Arabidopsis thaliana: one gene and its partners. Each later gene encodes a partner of the first gene's protein in a complex. Each region holds a gene or a part of one and is shown in the gene's direction. Other genes may lie near its edges. The genes, in order: AT5G19480, AT5G63480 and NRB4.

The links.
Region 2: AT5G19480 (region 1) and AT5G63480 share a complex: the UniProt entries of both Arabidopsis thaliana proteins name them as parts of the mediator complex.
Region 3: AT5G19480 (region 1) and NRB4 share a complex: the UniProt entries of both Arabidopsis thaliana proteins name them as parts of the mediator complex.

Annotation. Positions count from the first base shown.
Region 1 is NC_003076.8:6,569,599-6,573,355, forward strand, and holds the start of AT5G19480 (mediator of RNA polymerase II transcription subunit), read left to right. Parts: upstream 1-1,902; 5' UTR 1,903-2,229; coding exon 2,230-2,257; intron 2,258-2,345; coding exon 2,346-2,638; intron 2,639-2,786; coding exon 2,787-2,990; intron 2,991-3,099; coding exon 3,100-3,159; intron 3,160-3,292; coding exon 3,293-3,331; 3' UTR 3,332-3,757. Other genes in the region: AT5G19473 (RPM1-interacting protein 4 (RIN4) family protein), read left to right, coding at 1-176, 1,032-1,082. UniProt on the Arabidopsis thaliana protein: Component of the Mediator complex, a coactivator involved in the regulated transcription of nearly all RNA polymerase II-dependent genes.
Region 2 is NC_003076.8:25,415,685-25,419,292, forward strand, and holds AT5G63480 (mediator of RNA polymerase II transcription subunit), read left to right. Parts: upstream 1-1,564; 5' UTR 1,565-1,632; coding exon 1,633-2,010; intron 2,011-2,264; coding exon 2,265-2,357; intron 2,358-2,690; coding exon 2,691-2,789; 3' UTR 2,790-2,951; downstream 2,952-3,608. Other genes in the region: NF-YC4 (nuclear factor Y, subunit C4), read right to left, coding at 648-1,400; AT5G63490 (CBS / octicosapeptide/Phox/Bemp1 (PB1) domains-containing protein), read right to left, coding at 3,032-3,223, 3,361-3,450, 3,549-3,608. UniProt on the Arabidopsis thaliana protein: Component of the Mediator complex, a coactivator involved in the regulated transcription of nearly all RNA polymerase II-dependent genes.
Region 3 is NC_003070.9:5,434,503-5,438,259, reverse strand, and holds the start of NRB4 (mediator of RNA polymerase II transcription subunit 15a-like protein), read left to right. Parts: upstream 1-1,641; 5' UTR 1,642-1,906; intron 1,907-1,907; exon of another isoform or gene 1,908-2,046; coding exon of another isoform or gene 2,047-2,104; intron 2,105-2,330; coding exon of another isoform or gene 2,331-2,338; coding exon 2,339-2,451; intron 2,452-2,575; coding exon 2,576-2,687; intron 2,688-2,863; coding exon 2,864-2,981; intron 2,982-3,081; coding exon 3,082-3,757. UniProt on the Arabidopsis thaliana protein: Component of the Mediator complex, a coactivator involved in the regulated transcription of nearly all RNA polymerase II-dependent genes.

The DNA of each region.
Region 1 (3,757 bases):
ATGATGCTACAAACTACTCGGTTGTCTTTTCTAAAGCTCGCGCAAACAGGAAGCAGAACAAAGCTGGTGTAAGACATTCTAGTTTGGGAAGCGAACAAGAACTCATGGTAAGTGTTCGTCGCAACCACCAACAACTTCACCATCGCCATGAAACTCAAGACGATGACCCTGTCATGGTAATTAAATTATCTCTCTCTACTTACTCTTCCATGGATTCTTTGGTTCATATTCACCTTGTGATGATCCTTTTCCCCTTAGTCAACGCGCATGGATCATCACAAGGTGGTATAACAATTCAGGAATTGATTTTCTCTTTGCGTCTTTTGTTTGTTTTGTGTTTTTGCATGCGCCTAAAAAGAATATTTCATTCCATTTCTTTCTTAACTCAGAGACATAATTGAACCATGAATGTTATTCAACTTAATTATGAGTTAATACATGCATCATAGTATCAGGTCTCATTTATGAATATGTAATGATAGTGTATCTTTAAATTTGATGTTATAGTGTATTGGCTTGCAGTTTGTTTCCATGGTTTTGAAATGATGTGTTTTGTTCGAACAATGAATTTATAGTTCGTTTCCATTTTCCCATTTTCTACTTTCTTTTTATTTGTTAGGAAAACTTTGTTTTTTTTTTTGCATTTTTTCCATAACATTTCAATAAGCAACCATATTTTAACATTATATTCCCACCTAAGCTAAATTTCATTACTTCTATTGTTAGATAAAAATATAATTAAACCAACTAAAAGTCTGAATCATATTATAATCTTTGCATTATGTTTTAACTATATGTTGGGAGTTACATAAATTTGTTTTGCTTGGAGCCTCCAAACTTTGAAGAGGCAAACATGAACGAAATGTACACTGCTTTTCTAGAGCGAATATGAAAACTCCATCTCTAGTTTGTATAACAGTCGAAATCACCTTGTTATACGAAGCATTATGCAATATGTGAAATGTATTAAGAGGAAGCATGTTGTCACCGTCATAAGTCTCTCTAACATTACTAATTTAATTACCATGCAGAAGAAGAAGAGGATCTTGACCTACATTAATTGTTGTATAAGGCCAAACTAGGGCTTTGTTCTTCTACAAAGTCGGAATCTTTCTCTCTTCAGCGATATAGCAAATATGTCTCAAGTGTGTAAAGACAGTAGTGTAACGTTTCTGTAATCTTCTTTATCACACACAAAAAAAAAAAACGTTCTGTTCTATGTGCATCATCTATTAAGATACCCCTGGTTGTGTTGTGTTGTGATACATTTTGACTTCTTCCTACATCATACGAGAACAAAATAAAACATGACTTAACCAAACCGTCAGATGCAGAATCCATTTAACTAATCTTCGATAAATTGAGAATTGTCGGATGATCATAGTTTTAGAAACAAGAGTTAAGAAATCATGCATTGATTGCTGGTACGATTTGGCCATTTGGGTGATTTTAGCTTTGGTTAATCATTCTCCAACTTCAATATAAAGGATCCGAACAATAGCAATGACTAAACGAATCACTTTTTGGCCTTAGCAAATTGGTCTTAATTATTTGGCCACAAATACACATACATATGACCATATGAAAAACAGTGGCTATCTTGCAACTGAGTGCCACCACCTAATCGTGGCCATATCCACTAACAAGTTGACCACCGTCTTAATCGGTGGCTATTGACGATTGCAACAAAAATTATTTGACGGCTATATTAGCATTTTTTTTTTTTTTTAACTATGTGATTAAAAATGCAAATTATAAGAAAATTGAAATTTTTATTAAAATAAAAATACAAATGTAAAAAAAGTCGTTGTGAAATCTGTAAAGTTGATCATACGCACTATGAAGCGCGTGAACCCCACGCGGTAACCCGTATAAATAACAAAATTTTGGACGAAAAAAAAACAGAAGAAGAAGAAAAAGAAATCGCGATTTTATAACGCCATTGTTTGAGGAAACTCCTAATCCATTCTCAAACCCTAGTTACTTCCTTCTCGAACGTTCCTCGATATTCCCGCGGGAAATTCACGACCAAGAGCAATCCGTTTTCCAGATTAGGGTTTATATCTCTGGGTTGCGATGAGATCTGCCTCGTGAAGTCATGTATGGCGGTGATTGATCTTTGCTTCAGCTTTGTTTTCGCTTTTCGTCAAATCTTGAGCTTATTGAGCTTTGGCTTGTTTGGTTTTCAAATTCCAATAATTGCAGTTTAATCAACAACAACAAAAAAATATGGAATCAGAGAGCGTTAAGTTTGGAGGTAAATTTGGTTTCCAAGCTTTGATTTTTGTCAAGTTTTATTATTTTGGGATTTGAGGGTCAATGAGCTTCTGGGTTTCTAAGTGCAGGTCCTAGAGAATTGGGTGGTGCACTAGATCTTATAACACAATACAAGTTGTTGCCACACCATGAATTCTTTTGCAAGAGATCACTTCCAGAGTCACTGTCAGATGCTCATTATCTTCATAATTTGGTTGGAGACACAGAGATTAGAAAAGGAGAAGGAATGCAATTAGATCAGCTTATTCCTAATGCATCACTTAGTAGCCGAGATACGAATGCTCGCATCCAACCTTTTGTTCTTGATGAACTTAAGGAGGCTTTTGAGCTTAATGATACAGCTCCTGTTGAATTGCCTCCAGTAAGAATATTGCTCTCTCTGTTTAGATTTTAACTTCCTGTAACATCTAGATCTTTTACTAACCATGATAAGTTGAATTACTTCCAAGTATCTTGTGATGATAGTTGAGCTAGGTTTGAGAATATGAGATCTCCTGTTCTTATTTCAGGCAGAGAAGGGAGCTCCTACCACTGTATCAAAATCAAAAAGTGAGTCAAAAGATAAGGATAGGAAACATAGAAAACATAAAGACAAGAAGGAGAAAGATAGGGAACATAAGAAGCACAAGCACAAGCATAAAGATAGGATCAAAGATAAGGATAAAGACAAGGATCGAGACAAAAAGAAGGAAAAAAGTGGACACCATGATAAGGTTATAAAACTGTCTGCTCTTGTTGGTACCTAGGCCGTCTATATATGTATATTTTGGATTCTTAAATTCGATAGAATTGACGTGGTATACGCTATCACTTTACTTTCAGAAAAGGAAGAACAATGGGACTGAAGATGCTGATGACGTTCAGAGGCACAAAAAGAGTAAGGTAATATACTAATGGCAATGGAGGCATCTCCTTCTTTTTAGTGAAGCTGAATTTAGAAGTTTCTGGTTACTCGCACATTGGTGTTGCTCTGCAAATTTTATTTTTGTCGGCCCTAAAATTAACTTTTTTGCAGCATAAGAGCTCAAAGCTTGATGAGATGGGAGCGATGTAGGTTGGAGGCTGAAGCCGTGCACACTTTCATTTTTGTATTGCACACCCAAGGTGTCATGGAGAGGCTTAGAAGCAGCTAACTTTGTTAGGTAACTCGGTCACTAGAGTCATCTTCTCATCTTTAGATAACGCACGTTTCTCATATGGGGCTGCGTCTGTCATAACCAACGGTACTGTACATGATGAATATGATTGAGTCAACAAAGCTATGGTTGTTTTAAACATGAAGAAATAATTATTGTCTAAGGCTTATAAGAAGATAACCTGGAACTCTAGCGACCGAGAGTGCACTAACTTTATTTTGGAGTCTCAAATAATTAGAAATGTTTCTATATGGTGTAGATTTGTCTCAACATAACATAAAATGATTTGGATTTGGTTTTGCAGGTTTAATCTCTAAATAAAAATTGCATTGTGGGAGAAGTTA
Region 2 (3,608 bases), about 19 Mb from region 1:
TAAGAAGTTATTATAAGAGACAGAGAACTCAAAGCTACTACAAGCCATGAAATACAAACTCAATATGCCATACATAAGCTCTGATCATTACTAGATTAGGAGCAAGAATCAACAAAAATACAAAGCATAGATTAGAATCTGCACATTTAGATTAATATATAGTTAAGCAAGTCTGCAGTTTTGCTGCAATAACTTATAAGTTAACAGGAAAAATGAAAAAGAGCTTTTTTGTTTTGTTTTGTTTGATCTCTCTCTCTCTCTCGAGTAAGTCATTCGAATCATAGACATATAAGAATCAGACACTTGCAGGGTCGAAATGATGATTAAATCTCTAAGCTTCTGGTTCCATAGCTCAACTGCACAACATTGTACAAATAATCAAAGGTGTGAGTCAAATCAAATAATGGATATCAAAATTGTGTATTTTACAAAGTTTTGTTTATGAATCTAAAGAAATGAGCCAGATGATACTGTAAATTGAGCTTCTTTGATATTATCAATTTTTAGCTTATTTGATGAGAATCAATGAAGATGACACAGAGCAGCAAATTCCTCTAAGACTAATCAAAGCAAGCTCATGAAGAATCTCAATAACCATAGATAATCAATTGCAACAAGCTACATTGCTGAATATTACTAGAATTCACTTACCCTTGGCTATCGAGATTACCATGGCCGCTACTTCCTCCACTTCCATAAGACACATCATCACCACCACCAGCTGAATTCTGCCAAACGCTTTGCCATGCCTGAGAAGGAGGCTGAGCATAAACACCGCTAGGATCCATCGCCGGTCTTCCAATCATCATCCCTCCAGGAACCGCCGGTTGTCCCATCGGTGGATAATAATAAGGAACACCGCTCGCGGCGGGAGCAACCATACCTCCTCCACCAAGAGCCGATGCTGCATCTTCCTCTTCCTTGATCTCTTCCCTAGGAACAATATCAACAAGGAAATCGAAGATATCGGTTCTAGTAATCGCAGCAGCGATATCGTTTTTCTGAAGCGTACGACGTTTGTTCTCTTCAGCGTGAAGCCAAGATCTAATCGTAAGTTCGAGAATGAAAAGCTCACAAGCTTTCGCGAAGAGAATCGGTGCTTCGGCGGAGATCATACGCACATCTTCATCAGCTTTCATGATTTTTTTGATACGAGCTAGAGGGAGCTGATGGTTTTTGAAATCGTTTACCTGTTCGATCTCTTGTCTCTGGTATGTCCAGAACATTTGAAGCTGTTGCTGTTGTTGCTGGAGGAGGTGGTGGTATGTCGCTCCTCCTCCGGTGACTATTGATGCAGATCCAGATGGTGGAGGAGGGATTACGGTTGTGACGGCGGAGCCAGGTGGATAGACGGAGGTTGGTGGTGGTTGCTGGTTGTTGTTGTTGTTGTTATTGTCCATTGGATCTTTGCCTTGTGATTGGATCAAAAGATCAAACTAACGTTTTAGATAGTTTTTGTCATATGGATTGGAGTAATAGTGGATAAGGTAGACAGCGATGTAGCTGATTTCTTTCTATTTTTATTTATCTATAAAAACTATATTATTGATATATATATTATATAGTTTGATTAAAACGACATCGTATTAATAGTTTAGTCAACCGACGCCGTGATAAAGTGTGTTCACGGTGATGCTGCAGAAACAGGTCTCGACGACGACGACGATGACGACACAGGAGCTAGCGATGGAAGGAGAGAAGCAATTGGAAGAAACTATTGAAGCGGCGTTTCAGATAATTTCAGCCATGAATGATGAGCTTTGTAATCCGTCTTTGTGGTCTACTTCAGCTACCCCGAGTTCCGCCGCGACGACGACGGGTTCTAATGGTTCGGCTCTCGTTTCCGCCGATGCGGCTGCGATTGATGGAACATCGCATCATTCGGAATCTGCTGGTGGTGGCGGGGGCGGAGGAAGTGGAAATAGTGTTTTGGATGAGGCGAGTCTTCGGTATAAGAACTCAGTGACTTCGCTTCGTGCTGTTCTTGCTGCGATTCCAAATTCGCAGAAGGTATTGAACATAATGTGATGTTACTAACTATTTCGAGAAGTGTTTTGTTCTGAGTTGTTTCTGGACTGAGGAAATTTTGAATTCCTAGGGTGTTTTGAGATCTTAGATTAGGAAATCTTCGAATCGATAGAGAGTTTAGATGAAGGATCTAATGCTTGTTGAGTGTCTTGTTCTTCACTTGTAGTGAACTTGCTTAATTTTAAATGAGAGCTTTTTTGAGGTTTCATAAATTTGAATTTGTTCATCTATTACAGGCAAAAGCATCTGAAATGCAAAATGGTTTAGGATCTCCTGAAAGTGAAGACGAGATCGAAAAATTGGAGGAGCAAGCCTTAAGTCTCAGAATGGTAAAGCTTTCTGCAATTTCTACATCTCTTTGTTTTCAATCTGATGTTACTACATTGATACACTATTCAGTCTCGAATTCTCTGTACATTTCAACTCACATAGCATTGAATTTGATTCATATTTTCTTGTATAAAGTGTTCTTTCCCACTGTCTAGTGTAAGTGTTTGTATCATTATAGCTTAAGCGGTTCTAGAACCATGGAAATGTTGATAATTTTTTGAATACATTTCAGCCATCTGGTCATTTTGATTTCTATGTTAATAACCTTATGGGAAGTGATTATATTGTTCTTCTCTGTTGGCATTAATAAACGGAAGCTTTTGTTCATGCAGGAGATTGCAAAGAAGAATGTTCATGTTAAAGAACTTATAGATAAACTTCGGGAACTTATAGCAGATATCTCTACATGGCAAAGCCCTTGTTCTGTTTGAGTTTTATTTTTTTGACAATAGTGAGATCAGTTTAGACAAAGATTCTAAGCCTTGTTCTTGAATTACTCCATGTATTAGTTTTAGATATTTGTTATTTTGATATCATGAAGCCAAAAAAATAATCAAAAATGACTTTTGTATATAAAAATATTTCAGACAAAACCTTCAAACCCTGTGTCTGTTTTTCTTTTTTGTTTGTATTGATCTGTTAAAGAAACACTTCTTGTAGTGTTTCTGAGGAATCAATGACCGAATTTTCTGAGAAAAGCCATAAAACCAAGACCAGCTACTAATGCTGCACCAGCCGCAACTCCACTATAAGCAGCAGCCCAAGCGTCTGTCTCTACATACTCCATTGATTCTGCTGATCCTGATGCTCTTCTCCTTCTTCTTCCTTTGCCTTCTCTTGAATCATCCAAATGTAATCTCAGACTCTGCAATTTATAATGATCAAATCAATTCAGAAAGCAAAAGGGGTTTATGGGCAATCTCATGAAGGTTTCATCTTCGACTTTGGTTCTTGTTGCTTATCAACCAAAAGTTTAAAGCAGGAGGAAATCGTTCTTTTTACCTTCCAGCCAATTGATTTTGCATGCTCTATGGCTGCTTGAAGGTCACTATCTGAAGCCAACAACACTTTATCGTGGTCTTCATCTTCATACTGCACATTATAACCATCATTTTAACAATTCAGGGGGTGACAAGAGAAGAATTAGATAATGATTGCATCATAGTCTTTATGTAAAAGAAAATATTTACCAAAATTTGGGGGAAGTTATCTGGATCGATATCATCCCCTACCCTCTGAATGATCGCGGT
Region 3 (3,757 bases), on another chromosome or scaffold:
ACTGAAATATTGAGCAGTTGATACGCACCAACTCTTTCAAACATTGGCGGCTAAAGATATTGCAGAAAACATCAACATATTACACATTTACACATAGACAACCTCTGTCATAAGAAAAGTTTCTCTTTTGACTTATAGGACATGTACACTTGACAAGTTAGGTGAGTTTGATTGTTTCTTAGGTAATGATACTGAAATTTACATTTGTTAAATATGTATAAAACCTTCAACCGGTTTTGTGTTTTGTTTGATGAATATTATGTGATGATTATTCTAAAATCCCCTATAATAAAAAAGTTATAAAAAAAAAAAAATTTTTAGTCTGATTATATTTATATCATAGTTCATTAACAAAACAGTTAAAATAATTGAATTAAGAAAGGACACAAATGTATTTCAAAATTAATTGAAAATCGTCTTTATTTGCTTTTATTTTTAAAATCAGATTATTAAGGATTTTATTCCTTAACTATCTACATATACATTTTTGCAGTCATTTTAGCAAATAAATCTTAGAGTTGGACTTATTTACAACCCAATGCCATTAACATTAAATATTTTCCAAAATAATTAATTTTACTTTAAATTTTTAATTTAAATTGTCAATCACATTATCAATCAAATTTAATCCAAACAAACTTCACATCAATCCCTTAAAATTAGCATAAACGTATTTTATTAACTATATTTTAAAACAATGTTTTTTGTTTAAATAAATATTATTCTTACTAAACGTTTTTTGTTTAAATAAACAAATCATGTATTTGAACTTATTTACAATGTCATACTACTGACATTAATTATTTAGGCATGAAAATATTTATTTAAGGATTTAAATCTTCTAAATTCTTGCTTTTAGAGTTATTATATCATTACCTAAAAGGCAAAAAATATTAATTTTTTAAATATTATTATTTGTATATTTAAACTTCATAAAACATTATCAATATTTGAATTTATAAAAAGTTTAATTTATCAAAAAAATTAACATCATTATATAATATATAGAGTTTTAAAAAATCTCAAAAAAAAATTCGTCATATTTTGTGATTCGAAATTTTAAGAATGAACATATATTAACCAATTGGCGAAAAATGTGTGGGTTCAATGTCACGCAACGACTAAAATATTTTGACAATGATTCATAAACATATTATAAATAAGATCAACATTAATAAAATAAATAGTTTTTTTTTTGGACGGGTTTGGCAGGACATGTTTGGTAGGACGGATTTGGCAGGACGTTACTTAGTAACAATGGTAAACTATAAAATAATTTACAAATTTTATATATATTAATTTTTAAAAATGAATTGTCTCCGCGGTGTATCGCGGGTTAAAATCTAGTAAGGTTTATTTTTCCAACCTATAAAATTATTAATAAAAAATGCTGTTTTGTTAAAAAAAACGTAAACAACATATGTGACTTAATGTACTTTTATTATATCTAATTTTATTATCACTTTATAATCACTTTTCTAAAACGTTTTCTAAAATGAAACGAAAAATATATAATTTATTTAAAATTGAAAAATAGTGGTCATATTATCTAGTTAACAAATTTCTAATACATTTTGCACCAATGCTACCATATTTGAACTGGGAAAACTATACAATTATACATGTGGTAATTAATACTAGATTTTTTTGTTTATTTTGAAAAAAAAAAAAACTTGTTATAAGCGAACTGGTAGGCTCGATTATGATTTACGACGCGAACAAGTTTCCTCTGTCTCTTTACCTAGAAGATCCTATATTCTTCATTCGTTTTTCGATCAAGCTAAACCCTAAATCCAGCTCCAATTTCCCCTTTTTCTCCTCTGTTTTCCTAATATCAAGCCCTAATCGTTGTACCAACCTTGACTCCGTCAAACGCCAAATCTCCTTGATTGGCTCTGAATTTGAGGTGAAATGTTCGAATCTCGTTTTTTTTTCTGTTGTTCTTAAGCCTTGCTTTTTAGAGTTTTCTCTTTTGATCGGGATTCCAAAGAAGATAAAGTATCTCCCTTTGTAGTTGGGTCTGGTTTATTACAATTACGAGAATAGATGAACTTTGTTGATGTAATAAAGTTTGCTTATTTTGAGTTCCTGGATTCTCGTTCCGGTGGGATTGGCTATTTGATGTTTTGAGTTTATTGCTTTTTGCTACCAACATTAGAAAGAATGAACATTTTGGCTGATCAATAAGAAATTCTGAGTGTTAATCTAATCCATGTTGTGTGGTCATTTGTTTCCTGTTGATTTGGGATAATCAGTTGTTATATTGTCATGTTTTGGTTTCTCTGTATACTTACTATTGATACTTTGCTCTTCATGGCTTGTAAACACAGAAAACTTGATGGATAATAACAATTGGAGGCCTTCTCTTCCAAACGGAGAGCCTGCCATGGATACAGGTGACTGGAGAACGCAATTGCCACCTGATTCTCGTCAGAAGATCGTCAACAAGATGTAAGTCACTCTAGCGGCGTTGTTTTGTCTATGCCAGTCAAATACTACAGAAATAGAAGGTTATTATGTTCCTTGACCAATAGTTAGTTTGTTTGTTTTACTTATTTGCTTGCCACTTGCGCAGAATGGAAACACTAAAGAAGCACCTTCCATTTTCCGGACCAGAGGGAATTAACGAGCTCAGGAGAATTGCAGCTAGATTCGAGGAGAAAATTTTCAGCGGTGCTCTTAACCAGGTTATTATGAACATATATTCTTGTTTCGTTAGTATGGTAAATATAGAGATTTGTGAGGCAATGGACTCCACAACATGGAAAAGAACTGACTTTCGGTATCTGTAAAGCTAAGCCACAATATGTTGGGTATGAAATCCATGTATACCTTCCTGATACTCTTTTATATCGCCTTTCAGACTGATTACCTTCGGAAAATATCAATGAAGATGCTGACAATGGAGACTAAATCACAAAATGCAGCTGGTTCTTCCGCAGCTATCCCTGCCGCTAATAATGGCACATCCATAGATTCGAGTAATCACGATTCTCAAGCATGAATTGCTTAAGTCTGTTTATCTGGTTTTATGGCTAATTGTTCCTCTTATTTGATGCTGTTTAACCTTTCCTTGAATAGTACCCACCAATCAAGGCCAACTTCTTCCAGGATCGTTATCAACCAATCAATCTCAAGCACCTCAGCCGTTGCTGTCCCAAACCATGCAGAATAATACTGCCTCTGGAATGACGGGTTCTACTGCTTTACCATCTTCCATGCCACCTGTTTCTTCCATAACCAATAATAACACCACAAGCGTTGTGAACCAGAATGCCAATATGCAAAATGTAGCTGGAATGTTGCAAGATTCATCTGGGCAGCATGGCCTTTCCTCGAACATGTTTTCAGGACCCCAAAGGCAGATGCTGGGTAGGCCACATGCTATGTCTTCACAGCAACAACAGCAGCCATATCTTTACCAGCAGCAGCTACAGCAGCAACTTCTCAAGCAGAACTTCCAGTCAGGGAATGTTCCCAATCCCAATTCGCTTTTGCCATCACACATTCAACAACAGCAGCAAAATGTGCTGCAGCCTAATCAACTGCATTCATCTCAACAACCTGGTGTTCCAACATCTGCGACTCAGCCCTCCACTGTGAACTCAGCTCCTCTCCAAGGTCTCCACACCAATCAGCAATCAAGTCCGCAATTGTCTTCTCAGCAGACGACACAATCTATGCTTCGTCAGCATCAATCGTCGATGCTAAGGCAACATCCGCAATCACAACAAGCCTCTGGTATCCATCAGCAGCA